4 linked regions of the Arabidopsis thaliana genome follow. The protein of the gene in region 2 binds, or shares a complex with, the protein of the main gene of each other region. Each region holds a gene or a part of one and is shown on either strand. Other genes may lie near its edges.

The links.
Region 1: RPS17 (region 2) and rps8 share a complex: the UniProt entries of both Arabidopsis thaliana proteins name them as parts of the 30S ribosomal subunit.
Region 3: RPS17 (region 2) and EMB3137 share a complex: the UniProt entries of both Arabidopsis thaliana proteins name them as parts of the 30S ribosomal subunit.
Region 4: RPS17 (region 2) and AT1G64510 share a complex: the UniProt entries of both Arabidopsis thaliana proteins name them as parts of the 30S ribosomal subunit.

Annotation. Positions count from the first base shown.
Region 1 is NC_000932.1:79,136-82,500, forward strand, and holds rps8 (ribosomal protein S8), read right to left. Parts: upstream 1,338-3,365; coding exon 933-1,337; downstream 1-932. Other genes in the region: rps11 (ribosomal protein S11), read right to left, coding at 1-241; rpl36 (ribosomal protein L36), read right to left, coding at 354-467; rpl14 (ribosomal protein L14), read right to left, coding at 1,561-1,929. UniProt on the Arabidopsis thaliana protein: One of the primary rRNA binding proteins, it binds directly to 16S rRNA central domain where it helps coordinate assembly of the platform of the 30S subunit.
Region 2 is NC_003070.9:30,039,851-30,044,256, reverse strand, and holds RPS17 (ribosomal protein S17), read left to right. Parts: upstream 1-2,304; 5' UTR 2,305-2,334; coding exon 2,335-2,784; 3' UTR 2,785-3,014; downstream 3,015-4,406. Other genes in the region: ROPGEF12 (RHO guanyl-nucleotide exchange factor 12), read left to right, coding at 165-555, 639-793, 879-953, 1,060-1,323, 1,423-2,085; GL2 (HD-ZIP IV family of homeobox-leucine zipper protein with lipid-binding START domain-containing protein), read right to left, coding at 3,244-3,624, 3,698-3,784, 3,869-4,140, 4,224-4,406. UniProt on the Arabidopsis thaliana protein: One of the primary rRNA binding proteins, it binds specifically to the 5'-end of 16S ribosomal RNA. Required for optimal plastid performance in terms of photosynthesis and growth. Required for the translation of plastid mRNAs.
Region 3 is NC_003076.8:4,616,718-4,621,848, reverse strand, and holds EMB3137 (Ribosomal protein S13/S18 family), read left to right. Parts: upstream 1-2,867; 5' UTR 2,868-3,076; coding exon 3,077-3,193; intron 3,194-3,390; coding exon 3,391-3,615; coding exon of another isoform or gene 3,616-3,660; exon of another isoform or gene 3,661-3,842; coding exon 3,843-4,010; 3' UTR 4,011-4,426; downstream 4,427-5,131. Other genes in the region: AT5G14330 (uncharacterized protein), read left to right, coding at 1,298-1,410, 1,629-1,902; CXE16 (carboxyesterase 16), read right to left, coding at 4,427-4,967. UniProt on the Arabidopsis thaliana protein: Located at the top of the head of the 30S subunit, it contacts several helices of the 16S rRNA.
Region 4 is NC_003070.9:23,953,512-23,958,599, forward strand, and holds AT1G64510 (Translation elongation factor EF1B/ribosomal protein S6 family protein), read right to left. Parts: upstream 2,794-5,088; 5' UTR 2,767-2,793; coding exon 2,314-2,766; intron 1,725-2,313; coding exon 1,482-1,724; 3' UTR 1,292-1,481; downstream 1-1,291. Other genes in the region: AT1G64500 (Glutaredoxin family protein), read left to right, coding at 1-865; RPN12a (regulatory particle non-ATPase 12A), read left to right, coding at 2,948-3,052, 3,353-3,431, 3,726-3,828, 3,909-4,172, 4,268-4,379, 4,469-4,609. UniProt on the Arabidopsis thaliana protein: Binds together with bS18 to 16S ribosomal RNA.

The sequences.
Region 1 (3,365 bases), on a different chromosome or scaffold from region 2:
GAATAGCATTTCCTGCTGCGGTTTGGGCAGCAAAGGGTGTTCCTCTTCTTGTACCCCGGAATCCACAAGTACCTGCGGAGGACCAAGAAATCACCCGACCCCGTACATCTGTAACGGTTACAATGGTATTGTTGAAACTTGCTTGAACATGAATAACTCCCTTTGGTATTCTACGTACATTTTTACGTGAACCACTACGTGTATTTTTACGCGAACCAATTCTTAATATAGGTTTTGCCATTTTTTTTCATTTCACAAGAAATATATGGATATATCCATTTCAGGTCAAAATAGACCCTTTTTTCCAACTCTTTGGAAGTGCCTTTTCTTTTACTTTAGTTCCTTTAGTAAGATTATCCTTGTCTTTGTTTATGCCTCGGGTTGGAACAAATTACTATAATTCGTCCCCTCCTGCGGATTAGTCGACACTTTTCACAAATTTTACGAACGGAAGCCCTTATTTTCATAGTTGTTATTCCTTAATTCTGTGAATATATTTATTGGTGGACGAAAAAAAGGTTTCTTGATATTTTTGAATCTTGAATTGTATCTTCGTGAAAGGAATGGTTGAAATTGAAAAAACACTTACTCATTTGAATACTTATTATGGAGTCTAGAAAATGGCTGTCCCCTTATTAACTTATACTTAAGAACTTACTCAAAATTTTACCTTTTTATCCTATAGGTATACCTATACAAAAATATGTCGAATCCTTTCAGAAGCATGAACGAAAAAAAATCTTTAGTATCTAAACAAAATCGAACCATGCCGTTCGGAAGTGATTAAGAAAGAAAACTTTTATTAATTCATTTTTTCTTTAATTTCATTCGAAGTAAAACATCCGAAACTTTTTTGAACAGGGGTGGTATTACACAACCCCCTTTTTTCACAAATTGTAAGTTACAGATATCTAATTTTTATATTAGAAGGATTACCATATATAACACAAAATTTCTCCGCCGATTCTTTTTAGTCGAGCTTCTCGGTCTGTCATTATACCTTGAGAAGTCGAAAGGATTACAATTCCTATTCCGCCTAAAATTCGTGGAATTCGTTGAGAGTTAGAATAGATTCGTAGACCCGGTCGACTTATTCTCTTTAAATTTAAAATCGTTTTGTAGGATTCTTTCTTATTTCGTCTATGTCTTAGGGTTAAAATCAAAAAATATTGGTTGTTTTCGCGATGTTTCCTTACGTTTTCGATAAAACCCTCTCGTAAAAGGATTTTAACAATACTTTCCGTGATGTTAGTCGATCCTATCCGAACCGTTCCTTTTCTATTCATGTCAGCATTTCGTATAGAGGTTATTATATCAGCAATGGTGTCTTTCCCCATGATAAGTTAAAATTCCTTATTGTTCTATAATTTTGATATAATCAACATGTTCTTTTTCTTTTATTTATATATAGATATAGACGAATTATATATTAATATATGAATTAAATTCTTAATATTTTATTATTAAGGGTATATGCGTGATACAGAATCTATTAATTAATTTTATTTCAATACCTGTTTTTTTAATCCGATACTAACTATCGCTATCGATATTTAGATCTTATAATACCTCAGGAGCTAATGAAACTATTTTAGTAAAGTTTAATTGTCTCAATTCCCGTGGGATCGCCCCAAAAACTCGAGTTCCTTTTGGATTTCCTTCTTGATCAATGACAACTGCGGCATTGTCATCATATCGTATTATCGTCCCATTGTTACGTTTGAGTTCTTTACAAGTACGTACAATTACAGCTCTAATCACTTCTGATCTTTCTAGAGGAGTATTTGGTATTGCTTCTTTGATTACAGCAACAATAACGTCACCAATATGAGCATATCGGCGATTACTAGCTCCTATTATTCGAATACACATCAATTCTCTAGCCCCGCTGTTGTCTGCTACATTCAAATAGGTTTGTGGTTGAATCATATCATTTTTTTTGTATCTCTTCTTTTAATGCAAAGGACGAAGTAAAAAAATATTGTTTGTCAAAAAAAGAAAACTTATAATCTTTTTACCCTTAAATGTTATTTAGTTTTTTCATTATATATTCCTATTCAGAAATAATGAATTGGGTTTTTATAGGCATTTTTGATGCCGCTATTGAAATAGCTTTTCTTGCTATATTTTCGGGTACACCACCCATTTCATAAAGGATTTTACCTGGTTTAACCACAGCTACCCAATACTCAGGGGATCCTTTCCCAGAACCCATACGCGTTTCCGCAGGTCTTACTGTAACTGGTTTGTCTGGAAATATACGTACCCAAATTTTTCCACCACGTCGTACATTTCGTGTCATTGCGCGTCGCCCTGCTTCTATTTGTCTAGATGTGATCCAAGCGGGTTCAAGTGTTTGAAGAGCATATCTGCCAAAACAAATACGATTCCCACGAGAAGATATTCCTTTTAGTCTTCCTCGATGTTGTTTACGAAATCTGGTTCTTTTTGGGTTATAGTTGATGGTTCTAAATTAGAAATTCCATCTCTACTACAGAACTGAACGTGAGAGTTTCTTCTCATCCAGCTCCTCGCGAATAAAAGGACTAAAAAAGCTTGTATTAAGATATAGTTAATGATTAATTCTATTAATCATGATATTCAATTTCATCTGATCTCTTCTAAATTTGTGTATGTCTTTTTCGAAATGGAATCCAAGATTAATTCTATTTATTTAAAAATAACGTAACGTAATATCATCATCTCGAATGTCGTTTTTGTTAGAATATTCTAACAAATCCTTATTTTCTTTTATCTTTTTAATTTTTGTTTTTTATTACTTTTATTAAAAAAAAAGTATTCGCCGGCGAATATTTACTCTTTCAATATCTATATTAAGTTTGTTGTTTATCCCAGGAGATCTCTGAATAAAAATAAGAATAGATAATAATCTGGTTTATTCCGCCATCCTGTCCAATGAATTACTAAGATTTATTTTTCAATAGAATCCTCTATATTCATGGGTTCCGTCGTTCCCATCGCTTCTTGATTAATCATTAGGCCCGAATTCTACAATGGAGCTCTTATATGAAATCGGGAATTTCATTTTTTTTATTTGTTTTTGAGTCAATTTTCTTAGTTTTTATTGGCTCAAGGCTCTTAATTTTTTTTGTTTTCGGAACAGATTTATCTAATTATTCTGAATGAATCTGTATTGATGCTTTATTACATTGCTTTTCTTACAGTGACCTCATAGACTTTCCAAATTGGAATAATATATCATTAATATTCAATTTTTTCTCTCTTTCTTTCATCCTTCCACTGAATCCGCATACTTTTCGATTACCTTTCATAACTTATAATTATAGTTCTTTATTCTTTTTTTTTTTCAGTTGCTACAATAATATGATCAATCCATCATATCT
Region 2 (4,406 bases):
TTTCTCAAAGCCAAAATCACTGTAACAATTACCCTTTATTGTTTTGCGGCTCGATTAGCTTCTCCTTCCCTTTTGATTCTCCCCATCTCAAGAGAGGCCCATTTGATCCTCTCTCTTTCTCTCTCTCTCCTCTCTAATTCTCTATTGCCATCAAGAGACCAGGAATGGTTCGTGCTTCGGAACAAGAACAGGAAACCTATAGGAGCAGGCTCTTCAATTTCAAATGGAGGAACAACGACAACAATAGTGCTACGAGACACAACAAGAGTCTCAGCGTCGAGACCGGTTTAGATGAGGCTGCCACCGGATCCCATGACGCTGAACCATTGACCATTATTCATCCTAGTCAGGGTCCACCACTTTCAAGATCGGCTGCGGATGAAGCAGTCCTCGCCGCCCTCGCCGCCTCACAGGCTAGAGAAAGGCAGCTTTTGGCAGACATGGAGCAGATGAAAGAGCGCTTCTCCAAGCTGTTGCTGGGAGAGGACAATTCCGGTGGAGGCAAAGGAGTATCCTCTGCTCTCGCCCTTTCAAACGCAATCACAAACCTTGCAGGTTGCTTTAGGACCCTCTTTTGTTATTACACTTAGTTTATATTAACCAGCAACCAATATCTCATGTTTATCTTGTTGGTATAGCTTCCGTGTTCGGAGAGCAACGGCGCTTGGAGCCAATGCCTGCAGAAAGAAGAGCAAGATGGAGAAAAGAGATTGATTGGCTTCTCTCCGTGACCGATTACGTGGTTGAGTTTGCTCCATCTCAGCAGAAAAATAAAGATGGGACCAATATGGAGGTTGTCTATCTGCTGCTGCTGCTGCATTATATTTCATTTGGTAACATACAATGATTCCCTTATTCTGTTGGTATTGATTTAACAGATAATGACCACACGCCAACGTACTGACCTCCACATGAATATCCCCGCATTGAAGAAACTGGACGCCATGCTCATCGTAAGACCTCTCTCTCTCTCTCTCTCGTTGACCAAATATCAACCCTACTTTAATAATTTCATTTAGGATATTCAAAAGCATCCTCTTATCCCCCTTTTCTACCTAGGATTGTCTAGAAAATTTCAAGGACCAAAGCGAGTTCAGCTATATCTCAAAAGACTCCCCTGACTTAGACGGTAAGAGAAACGACGAAAAATGGTGGATTCCGACCGTCAAAGTTCCACCAGATGGTCTATCAGAAGCTTCAAGAAGGTTTTTGCAGTACCAGAAAGATTGTGTAAACCAGGTTCTAAAGGCAGCCATGGCCATAAACGCACAGGTTTTGTTCGAGATGGAGATACCTGAGAGCTACATCGACTCTCTCCCAAAGGTAAAAAAAAAAAAAGACACCAACAATTGATGTTATTGATTAGAAGAGTTGATGAAGAATAATACTCACTTGTTTAGTTTGTAATAAATAAATAAACAGAACGGGAGGGCGAGTCTCGGGGATCAGATGTACAAGAATATAACGGTGGACTTCTTTGACCCGGACCAGTTCCTGAGCAGCATGGACATGTCGTCGGAGCACAAGATCGTGGACCTCAAAAACAGAATCGAGGCATCAATCATTATATGGAAACGCAAAATGGTTTATAAAGACAACAAATCATCGGCACCCTGGGCCTCCGGAGTAAGTCTGGAGAAGCGAGAGGTCTTCGAAGAGCGAGCTGAGACCATTTTGCTCATTCTCAAGCAAAGATACCCCGGGATTTCTCAATCTTCACTCGACATCAGCAAAATCCAGTTCAACGAGGACGTGGGCCAGGCGGTGCTGGAGAGCTACTCGAGAATACTGGAAAGCTTGGCCTACACGGTACTTTCCAGAATCGATGACGTTTTAGAGGCAGATCGAGCGGGGAACAAGAGGAACACGCCATTGGAAGCAGAGGAAGAGACGCTGGTTGGGAGCATGACGCTGTCGGATTTCATGGGATGGGACTTCGATCAGGCCGCGAACGCCGAATTGGAGTCGAAGAAGGATCTACCGGATGATCCGTTGATAAAGGAGAAGCTAAGCGTCGTCACGACCAAGAAGACCTCATACCTCGAAACCCTAGGCGGTGTCAAGAGTCCAACGGCACGGCATTGATATTTGTGTGGAAAATTAGGCGCAAAAAAGAGCGAAGACAGATTTATTGATTATTTAATTATTTTTAGGATTCAAAAACTTTACAAAAGGGCTTTTGTAAATTCCTTTTTATGAAAAGGTGGGCTTTTAAGATTAGGCCCAGTTTATTGTAAAACCCATTTACCATCTGTATACTGTATACATCCCTTCTAAATAGTAGTAGTACTCACCTTATCTTCATTTTCATCGATTCGATTCCAAATCGGAAGGATGATAACGTCGTCCCTAACCTCATCTCTGCAAGCTCTCAAGCTTTCGTCTCCGTTCGCCCATGGCTCCACTCCTCTCTCATCTCTCTCTAAGCCCAATTCCTTCCCGAACCACAGAATGCCCGCTTTAGTTCCGGTCATCAGAGCCATGAAAACGATGCAGGGGCGCGTGGTGTGCGCAACCAGTGACAAGACTGTGGCGGTGGAGGTGGTGAGGCTGGCTCCCCACCCCAAGTACAAGAGGCGCGTGAGGATGAAGAAGAAGTACCAAGCTCACGACCCCGATAATCAGTTCAAGGTTGGCGACGTGGTCAGACTGGAAAAGAGCAGACCCATCAGTAAGACTAAATCATTTGTGGCGCTTCCTGTCATCGCAAGGGCCGCCAGGAAAGCCGAAGCCGGAGGAGATGAACTCCTTGGCCTTCCCTTGGAGTCTCAGCAGCCGGCGTAGAGAATGATTGCTCTTTGTTTCTTTTGGTAAAGCCGTCTTTTTTTTGCTCTGCTTCTGTTTGTTTGTTGTGTATCCCGGAACCAGTGTAATTTATGGAATGCTTTTGTGATTTCATTGCTTATGCCATGAGTGTGTTTTCAATCTGATTGTTTCCGACTACCAATTGTTTGCTCTTACTTCATCTTCACCTCCAGTTACATTTAGAATGTGAATTAATATGTTTCTGTTGCTACTGTGTGCTTGTGGTCTCAGTGATCCGACTTTTGTTTCTGCTAATTCTACGGTTCTTGCTCCTCTTGTTATGGTTCATTTGCCAATGGAATGGACCAAAAAGGTGTTGGATAATAATAGGATTGGAGAAGAGAGAGCTGGTCGTTTTTGTACAAAACTTTAATGCACTGCTGCTATACATTATCATATAATTATATATAGGTAAATAATATCTGCTGTGACTTGTCATCAGCAATCTTCGATTTGTAGACTTCTCTTAATGTTGTGTAGTGTGACTGAGACGAGGTTTGTCACGGATTCCACAGACTCCATATTCAGCTTTGCTGCAGGAGAAGGGTTGATGAGGGTTTGGAGGGCGAGTGTCAGGAGCGACCCTCCTTGGCTGTTTCTGTCGTCTTGTGTAGACGTTATTACCAGTGGCCGTGACTCTACTCCATCAGGTATGATTGAGAATCCAGAGGGGAGGATTTGGATGTTGCTTGGATCATGTCCCGCGAGCACCAGCTGTGTCGTGTTTATATCTACGGGAGCGTATACCACCACCGACTCATACGAGTTAGTGCTGCTGTCTTGCAGCACCCATATGCTCTTTTCTCTCGATTTCACTGTCTGGAAATGTATAGAAATTCAGATTATCAAGGCCTAGACAGATTTAGAGGAGGAGAAGACAAAATAAACGCACCTGGATTGCCACTGAGTTGCCTCTGTCTTGTCCCTTGGATAAGTTTGCAATAGACTGAACATGAGCTCCGTTTGACAAAGCATCCCACTGATGATATGTATCGTTAGATAAATATATGAGTGGAAACCGCTTTTCTTGTTTGCTTAAATGTGTGTGAATTTGACAAGGTACCTCATGCCGACGAGCTTCATCTCTAAAGAAATCGAAGAGAAGAGCTGGAGAAACAGGTAACCACAGCGAAGAAGAAGCGCAGACAATGACTCCCGTGGGCTCGCCAGGATCATGAAGGTTCTTCCTGGAAGAAACCCGCATGTCTTGTCCAGTTTTGGTGGTGATTTTGGTCCATTGATGGTAGCTTGATGCAGCAATGGCGCGGTAGAAGCTTTGTGTCATTCTCTGAGCCATCTTCAGCACACTCTTTCTCCCGGCAAGAGTTGTAACTCCTGATTATCAACAGAGGAGTGAAAAGGTTATATATAAAGAAAGATAGAGAGTGTAAATGGAGGATCCGGATATATAGACGGACCGAGAGAGTCTTTGGTGGGGACGTTGGTAGCCATGAAGAAGACAAGGCGTTCGCAATGGAGCTGAAGGGTGGCGACCCAGTGTCGAGCCCCAAAGGCCAAACCGGTGTTGACTAAGGAGCGGAAGAGAGGCTGAACTGTGGATGCAGACACGTCGAGGTGCTCCACCCAGGTGACCTTGGAGT
Region 3 (5,131 bases), on a different chromosome or scaffold from region 2:
TACGGAGTGGGGTTTCGCGTTAATGCATGGAGGAATATTCGCCATGTACTTGAAGGTATGTGCATATATCCAAATAGGGATCAAATATTAGAAATCTATCTAATTATAGATCAATTCTGAAAGACATTAGGCTATATGTCCTAGTCTATTATAATGTTTAATTACCAACCTAAATTTAGAAATCTGTTAGGAAAACAAATTATATAACCAAATTGCATTAGTTTTTCCTTAATTGAATATTTAACCCTTCATGCCACACTCTTAATTAACACCCAAAGAAAAAAAAACCCGCCATGACTCATATATAATGTAATGTGATAAACAGATAATGTAAACATTACAATTTCCATTAAAGTACTATAGAAACCTAGGTAACCGATCGATTATTACTTATTAGACGTTAAAAGAAATTAGATATTTGATTTATAGTCGACGTGTATGTATATATATATACATACATCTTTCTTTTCCGTATAGCTTACATTATAGGTAGTCAACAAACTTACTATACTTCAATATATTTAACTTTTGTGTGGTACATCAAGAAAATAAAATTGCAGCTAACCAAATATTCGTTTTTGTTTTGGTGCACTGAACTGAACTAAAATTTAGAAAAATGTAATATAGAAGAGTATTGTTGTATATGAGAGGGACCTCGACAAAATCACAAAAACAATAAATAATACGTGAGAGACCGTTGGGAAAAAGAGTATATACGGAGCCTACGATGTGTAAGAAAAATTATTAATGCAAGGGACCAGAATCATATTTAGGCCCACTAAAAAGCACTGTCTCTTTAGGTCCAACTTAATCTTCATATAGTCACTAATTGGGCCTAAAAATTGTAACTGTAGTTATGGATAGCGTTACGTAGAATATTCGTTTAGCATATCAGTTTCTCCTTTCCATTCGTTAACTAATTTTTTCTTTGCAAACATACTGTATCTACCGTTTTATCAAATAATTTTCTTTTTATTATTTGTTTGTTTACTAGAATTACAGTTTTTTCAAACAGATAAATAATCATATTAATAATAACATTTGCTAAATTTAGTTAAAAGAATCATGGTGTTACTTTTTAAGTTTTACTGGTTTGCTTTCAAGTTTCAAGAATGATTGTATAGTACTTTCGGATGTTTGATCTTTAAAACTTGTTGGTACAGTTGGAATGCTTTATTGGAAATATCAAACTATCACCAACGCTAACATTTCTATTCTTTTTGAACTTCATCAAGAGCCAAAGCCCCTGATCGGCCTCACAAAAGACACCATTTTCTTTGGTCTCCGGCAACAGAACATGGATTGGAATCAATCCCTAATCAAACCGGGTCAATTTGGCTTAGTCAAGAAACGTCCCTCTTATGTAACAGCTGTTCCAGAACGGCAGAACATTCACGAACATATAAATGGGTGTCCACTAACAAATTCAAACACATAACCATGATCACTCTGTCCTTTTTTCCATTTTTTTAAATATTCAAGTAAACAACATGTAAATTATAACGAATTTAGGTCGTCTCAACATCATGACTCATTCACATGCGTTGACTTTTAACCCACTAAACATTTTTTATAGGACCCCTCTCTCTCTCTATAAATTCGACCCCCTTTGTTGATAGATCATACAGAGAACAACAAAGAAAGAAACCAAATAAGAAGAAAAAGGAGAAGAACATTCAAATGGCACCAAGAAGTTCTTTGATCCGCTTCGCCTTCATCTGCATTGTCTTGGCCGTGATGGTCATGACTGCTGAGTCGCACAACGGAACCCACCACCATGGTCCGGCTATGGCTCCAATGCCACCCATGGCTAAGGCTCCGTCTCCAAGTGCCGCCACTTTCTCCGCCTACCCTCAGCTCATCGCCACCGCATTGGTCGCTGCTATGTCTTTCGTCTTCTGATGAGATGTGTTGCCATTCATCTTCAGAATATGTTTTACTCTCTATGAGATTTTATTTTAATTTTCACATGTATTCCTTCTTTTTTTGTTAATTCTTCAAAGATTGTGATGTTGTGTTCCTATCATAATAAAACATTTATCTCTTGATGTTTTTTTTATTATCTTAATCATATTTTCCTCTTTTTCGAACCAAATCTTCTAATCAAGGCATTATAATGGCCCGTTTGAGAAAAGGTGGACTTTCTTTTTAAAATCAACTAATTCATCTTAAGGTTATAGAATAGATAAATATCCGAAGTAAATATATAAAATAAATTGGGTCAGCCTAAACAAAATAATGAAATGCAGGCCTTACGTGACAGTAATGGGTACGCCTCAACAAATAATGGTGTATTCACTATTCAGACGTTGGTGTCAAAATCAATGAGTGATATCCTTATTAGAAGAACGACAAGCTTTAAACTAGTTTCATGTGTAAAGTACGAAACAATAAACATCATGAAAACACTCGAAATATTGTAGTAAACTTGCCAACAAAACCATGAGTACAAGTGTACAACTCCAATGAATCAGATATATATGCAAGATGGAAAAAATCCCCAAACACCTTAAAATACAACAACATGTGACAATAACGAAGTGAACGACCATCTCGATAAATAGTTAACAAGACTCATTCTCATCCGTTGACTTTTCATCTATACACTTACCATTTTTTTTATACAATCTTTTTCTATCATGACTCTATCCTCAATAGCTACGTGCCCACATGGAGCCAAGGCTCATGCCTTTCGTCTTCTGATCAAATGTGTGTCATTGATCACACCATTCATCTTAGTTGTTAAGAAAATATCTGTAAATCATTTTTTTTTTCATTTTATAGTTGTATCACTTTATTATAGTCCACTCGGTTTTTGCATTTTTGTTATAGTCCACTAGTTGGGCCGTGTTATACAATAGCGAGCCTATCTCAACAAAAAACAAAGCCCAACAAGTATTTATTTTGCCAGTTTTGTAAGCAATTAATTGAATAGAGTAAGTAGAGACGGAGCAAAAACAAGAGAAGCGTTTGGATTCGACGTTTGCCTTATCCGTTCAGCTCATCTTCTTCTTCTTCTTCGTCACCTCTGAATTAGTTTCCCAGAATCCGAAATTCCTAGGAAGAGAACATAACAATGGCGCAGATGGTTGCGATGCCCGTAGCGCACTCGCTCTCACTCATTTGCAATTGGGCAAAATCCAATCCTCTCTCTCGCAACACTCTTGCCCTCCCAGCTTCAAACACTCCCAATGTAATCATTTCTCTTGGACTCTCTCTTGCGTATGATGTTGTAATTTATCGAGCTTGACTTCATGTTTTTTTATGTGTTACTTCATTCTTGTTCGTCAATTTTTGGGTTAGGGGTGGTTATAGAACACTCCATCAATTTTTGGGGGAATTTGTCTCTGTGTTTTTAAAGTTTTTTTTTTTTTTTGTAATGAAATGCAGAAGCAGAGTCTAAGCATCAGATGTGCTCGTGTTGGTGGAGTGGAGATTCCGGCTAATAAGAGAATTGAGTACTCTCTTCAGTACATTCATGGGATTGGTCGAACTAGGGCTCGTCAGATTCTTGTTGATCTTCAGATGGAGAACAAGATTACTAAAGACATGGCTGAGGAAGAACTCATCATTCTTCGTGATGAAGTCTCCAAGTACATGATTGAGGGTGATCTGGTAATACACTTTCCCTTACATTTACACACTTTAGGACATGAGTAATGTGCATCATAGTTTCAGTTTCTGTCAGTCCATTCTCGAGCAGTTTCTTGAAGATTGGAGAAGAACTTAGGCTGCTATCTATTTGGTGTTTTCATTGCTTTAGTTTGGGTTTCCTCTTGTTTTGATTTGGTTCTTAGGCCTTTGTGAATGAATTATTGATTTGTGTTGTGGATGTTGTGCAGAGGAGGTTCAATGCTCTTGCAATCAAGAGGTTGAAGGAGATCCAGTGTTACCGTGGGGTAAGGCACATCCAAGGGCTGCCATGTCGGGGACAGAGAACCAAGAACAACTGCAGGACTCTTAAAGGCAAGAAAATTGCTATTGCAGGGAAGAAGAAAGTTTCCAAGTAATCATCTTCATGATCTCCTTCTTCTTCTGTAATACTCTTTTTAGTTTGTCTAGTCATCTCTGTTTAAATGTGATTTGTAATTCCCAAACCTTTGTTCGAACTGAGCCCTTTCCAGTTTATCTTCGGCTTTTTAGCTATTATTATTCCGTATCTTCATCATTCATTATAAAGTTACAAAAGAAGTTGAAGATTTCAGCATTCAAGAATGATGACAAACCAAGAACAAACTTGAAAATTTGGTCGAACCAAAAATGGTTTATTCAGAATACGTACATATGAATACATAAGTAACCAAAAAATAAAATTTTATAGCTTTTGCCAAAAGACTCGATCTTGGATTGTCTCTAATCCTACCCAGAAAATCTTGCTATCACACAAAAAAAAGGAAGAAAATGAATAATAACAGGGTAAAAATTTTCAGTAAGAGAACTCATGGCCGCGGAGTGAAATGTATTTCTTGACCCAAATGGCAATATCTTCGGCGCAGGCCTGTGCCTGAGGAGTCTTGAGAAGCATATCAAGTGTAGCAAACTCATGAACTGCGTCTTTGTATTCTAAAACTGGAGAATCTACGTTTACCTTTCTAAGCTCTTCTGAATAAGCAATGGCTCGGTCTCTCATCCAGTCATGCTCAGCTACTACTGTAAGTGTTGGAGGCATTAGCTTCAGAGGTGGTCCACTGCGGTTATGGGCAAGTGGGTTTGCTGCCGGGTGGTCAAAGTCGAACTCTTTCTCTGGTAAGAAGAGTTTCCAGGCTAGAACAGAGACAGGCTTATCGTAGAAGTAAGAGTTTGCCAGCTTTATTTCGGACTGTGTTGGGTTGTTTCCAATGAAAAAGGGGTACATTAGAACCTGTGCAACAACTTTCACCGGTTCTAGAAGTTTCCCAGCTTCCACTGCTTTCCGAGCTACATAGTCTGCTATGTTCCCACCACAGCTCACCCCGAGAAGAACACATCTGTTTTAACATCATATGAAGCAACAGGTTGAGACACAGAAGTTGATGTGAGATTGCAATCAATGGAAGATAAGCTATCTTAGTTCATCTAACTAGTTGTCCAAAGAATCCTGACTTTGTACCAAGTTACTCCTAGATCAACATGAAACTATTCTTAAGATCTT
Region 4 (5,088 bases), 6.1 Mb from region 2:
TCTAGAAACTAAACTTAAACCTGCCGCCGTTAAACCGCCGGAAGTAGACTCTGTTAAACCTCCGGCGACTCCTCCACGGCGGCTTCCGCGGAAGAGCGCATCGTTCCACACACTGGACGAGCTTGAAGTGAGGGCCAAAAGAAGCATCGCCGCGCAAATCCCGACGACAATGGTTAAGCTTAAGAGAACCGAGTCGATGTCCAAGCTAAGACCCGAGTCAGATGATCGAACCGAGTCCACTCAGTCGTCCTACTCGGGGCCTCGGTCAGTGAAGGAGAACATATTCGTCAAGAGAGACAGAGAACGGAGGGAGAAAGAAGGGAACAAGAAGCCGGTGATGAACTGGGACCCACTTAGGGAGTTCCCGGAGAAGTGTCCGCCGGGAGGAGGGGAAGGTTTGATTGTCTACACGACGTCGTTGCAAGGAGTGCGTCGCACGTACGAGGATTGTATGCGTGTGAGGGCCATCATGGAGCAGCAAGGAGTTGTGGTGGACGAGAGGGACGTGTCTTTAGACGCCGGAGTCTTGAGCGAGCTTAAGGAGCTTCTCCAAGACGAAGCATCAGTGGCGCCGCCGCGAGTGTTTGTGAAAGGGAGGTACTTGGGAGGAGCAGCGGAAGTGACAGCGATGAATGAGAACGGGAAGTTAGGGAGGGTGTTGCGGTGGGCACGTGTGGAGAGAGTAGGGGAGGAAGGGAGGCTCACGTGTGAAGGGTGCGGAGGAGCGAGGTGGTTGCCTTGTTTCGAGTGCGGCGGAAGCTGTAAGGTGGCGGCGGTTGGGGCGGCCAAAGGTGAAAGGTGGGAGAGGTGTGTCAAGTGTAATGAGAATGGATTGATTCGTTGTCCCGTGTGTTTTGTTAATTAAGAACATTATTAGTTTACACAAGCAAATAGAGGTGTGTCAAATATACTTTGTCCCGTTTGTTTTGTTATATGTATGTGACACGTTTGATTTTGTGGAATTGAAAATGATTTGAAACTATGCTAGGATTTTCATAAAATGTTAAAGCATGAACGTGAACCATTATAATGCTAAGCTTGCAAGGTCTCTCACTCGTATATGTTGATGGTTTTGATCAATTACGTAAAGGAGTTCAACAATCTCACTAATTTAAGTTTGGATCGTCAGAAGGTAAAAGCTGGCAAACAAAGTCACTTCTGCCTGAATACTTTACAAATTTGTTCTTTGTTGCTATTTTGTTTGATTGTTATGCATCCGTTGAGGATTTTGTGCTATGAAACAGAGTAATATGAATTCCATCATTATAGTAACTATGGCAAGTTAGTGTTAGTTAAAATCTTTTAATGAAAATGCATACAAGTATGCTTCTCAAACTTAGCTTTAAGAGTTTCTCACAGTTACATAAGAAAGCAGAGCAATGCACAAAAAAAGATACAAAAAAGATAGATTTACTTTTGTTCTTACAAAGAAACAAAAAAAGAATCTGACATTTTTCTCACATACACAATGTTCATGGTCTTCAGTTGTACTTCCTCTTCTTTATCTTGAAGGAAGATGATCGGATAATGTCATCGTCGGCAGTGAGAACGGTCTCGAGTGGAACTATTGATTCGGGTTTGGTGAAGTAAGTGAAGAGAAGGTAGATTCCATCCAAGTAAGTGTTGGTTTCTCCAGCTTTGTTCTTCTTTCTTATGCTGTAAGCCAACGGAATCACTCCTCTGTTAAACACTTCCACATACATTCCACCTCCTGCCACAAGCAACTGCCACACACACCAAAAAGAAATCCCAGCAACATAATGAATCTTTCAGAGTCTGCACCAACTAAAAACTTCCACTACTCCGAACATAAATTTCAGAATTCCTCATTAGATTAAACATGTGATATAGCGTAAAAGAACCCACGCGTAAACCACAAATGATAACTGTGTATTAGCTCGTTTCGAGCATCAAAGGACATTTCAAGAATTGAGTTAAAATGTTATGGTAAAACATGACTAAAAAACTAAGAAGTGCACTAAGGGCTCCTATCTTGTTTCAAATGGTTGAGACTTAAAGAATTCACAGCCCACAGAAGGATGAGATTTGCTCTTAGAAAGTTAAACTCTTTACTTCAATTTTAACAAGGAGTCGTCACAAACATTCAATTGATAGCTGCAAGTTACACAACTCTACATTGAAACCATTTTCTCTTGCTTTGTCATTAACGTGTAAGAACAGACACAAGATACAACTTTTAGTGATCTCTTACTCAACTTCTAATTGAATCCTAAAATCTCTTTCTCTCTCAAATAATCAAATTTCCCTCTGACATGAAACAGAAAACAGGTAAAGTTGGAGACTTTTACTTACCTCTTCGTATTTCTGGGTAAGACCAAGCCGTTCATCTTCAGACATGTCTGGTCTCAAAACCGCCATTGTTTCGTACTGCCTGAGCCCAGGTGGGCACTGAGGTTCCGGTTTGTCTTCAAGGGCAGTTGAGACTCCCGACCCGGAAGGAGAAGTCGGGTCATCATCCGACCCGAATCCACCTTCAAAGAAAGTTCCAGAGAAGTCAAGAGCCTGAGATTTCACCACAAATTGAGAGCCATCTCTCTTCTGTATCGAGGCACACATAGGTTTCGACTTGGAAATGAATGGCCTGAGAGAGTGGGAGAATGATAGCAGCGGCTGCGAAGATACATTAGGCAGAGGGCAAATTGTGGAATTTGATACACACAGCGAAGACGCCATTGTTGTGAGATTGTGAAAGCAAAGAGGAGATGAGAGAGTAAAATTTGGATAAGAGATGATGATGGTACACATTAGTCAGAATTCTATTGTACACCATGGGCCTTTTTAGGTTATTGGGCCTGTTAAAGGCCCGTTTTGTAAAGACAATTATTTCTATCTGTATTATTTGTCTTCGCGATCAAGCCAGTTCTCGGAGCAATCAAATCTATAAGAAAAGAATCGTCGCCGGTGAAGAGAAAAAACCATAGAAGCGATGGATCCGCAGCTAACTGAAGTTTCACAGCAGTTCGAGAGATTCAAGGCGGCGTTTGCGAGGAAGGATTACAATACCTGTAGCGATCTGTTGTCTCAGCTTAAGGTCTACATCTCTCTCTCTTCTTTGAACCCTAATTTGTTTCAATTCACTTCTTTGCATATCTGCTTATTGAACCAACTTTGGGAAAATTGATGGGTTATGTCGCGAGAGTTTAAATCTATGAGAGCTTTGATTTATTGAAGTGAGAATTTTTAGCATATAAGTGTGTTAAGGATCTTTTAGAAGAGCTAAGTGCTATGAAATTTTTAACTTTCTACTTTAAGGGATTGTTGGGATTGGTTTAGATTTACAATTTACTGGTGCGAGTCTCTGATGTCGCTGGGGTTTTGTTGTGTTCTTCAGGTTCTTCTTACCAAATTCACAAGTCTTCCTCCATTGTTCGAGAATTCACCTAATGCAGCCAAGGAATTGACTATTGCAAGTAAGTTTCTCTTTTTCATTATTGGTTTTACATGAGCTATTTGCTAGTAAGTTTAGAGTTTTGCTTTCAATTGCATGGAGTGTTTTGGATTTGTCTATTCTCATGAGTTATTTGTTAACTATACTTAAATACCACTGAAGAGTGTCTGAGGGATTGTACTGCTTTAGTTTGTCTGTCTATCCCTATATGTATACATTAATCGTTGAATGCTGCATTGGTTTGGATTGAGTTATTGGTAATTTTTGTTCTTATTGATTATCCGTTTCTAAAACTTTGACAATTGGTGTATTCTAGGGGACATTTATGAGCATGCTGTTGTTCTAAGCGTCAAAACCGAGGATCAAGATGCTTTTGAGAGAGATTTCTTCCAGCTGAAACCTTACTATGTGGATGCCAGGTAAAGAAAGAACCAACTGTCTGAACATTATCTTTTTCATTTTCTTTTGGTCTAACATATCTTCTTTTCCTCTGCACCAGGAACCGTATTCCTCAGTCTCCACAGGAGAATCTTATCCTGGGTCTTAACCTTCTGAGGCTGCTGGTACAAAATAGAATTGCTGAATTCCACACCGAGCTTGAATTACTTTCATCAGCTACACTAGAGGATCCTTGCATCAAGCATGCAGTAGAGCTTGAGCAATCCTTCATGGAGGGTGCCTATAACCGTGTGTTGAGTGCTAGACAGACCGCGCCTGATGCAACTTACGTCTATTTCATGGATCTCTTGGCAAAGACCATAAGGTAGCATCAATGAGTCTGTCCTTCTCTGAATTAGTTCAGTCTTATGTCTTCTCGCGTGTTATCTCACCTTTTTATTGTTATGACTGAATTCACAGAGATGAAATAGCTGGATGCAGCGAGAAAGCTTATGATTATGTCTCTATCAGCGATGCCCGGCAGATGTTGTTGTTCTCTTCTGATCAAGAACTCTTAACCTATGTCACAGATGTAAGAGAAAAAACATTTTGTGCAAAGTTTAGAATCTTTTTTAGTTTCATGAACCATTGACGCGATTTAGGTTTTATCAAATCTTATAGGAGCATCCTGAGTGGGAAGTGAAGGAAGGGTTTGTTGTCTTCCAGAAAGCCAAAGAAACTGCACCGTGCAAAGAGATTCCGTCTCTGCAACTCATCAACCAGACTCTAAGCTACGCCAGAGAGCTGGAGCGTATCGTGTAAGATTCGACTTTTCTCACTGCTTGTCTCTTCTCTTCTGTTATGTTCCTGGAAATCTCTGGGTCAGAAAACTTTGTTATCATGTAATGACCGATATTGAGCGACTCAGTATTTTCTCCGGGTCAATGAGACTTTGTTGTGATATCAATCTGTTTTTCCATATCCTTTTACGTTATATTCTATTGTTTAGTGTTCACTCGTTTTCAATTGGAGACTCTGTCCTCCTCACTTTGATGCTTTGCTTGAACATGATGTCCATAATTCTAGGGGTGTTCAAAACTAGGTATAGTTTGGAATTCAGAGTTACCGTGGTCCGGGATACTCAATTTCGGTTTGGTTTGCGGTGGAATGTTTTAGTTCAGTTTGGTTATTTGAATTTGGGTTTGGTTTAGTTGTGGATGAAAAGGACAGATTTGGAGAGCCTCTAACGTAGTGTAGCCGGGGCCTTCCTTCCTTTGATGAACAACCTAGTCCAAATATGG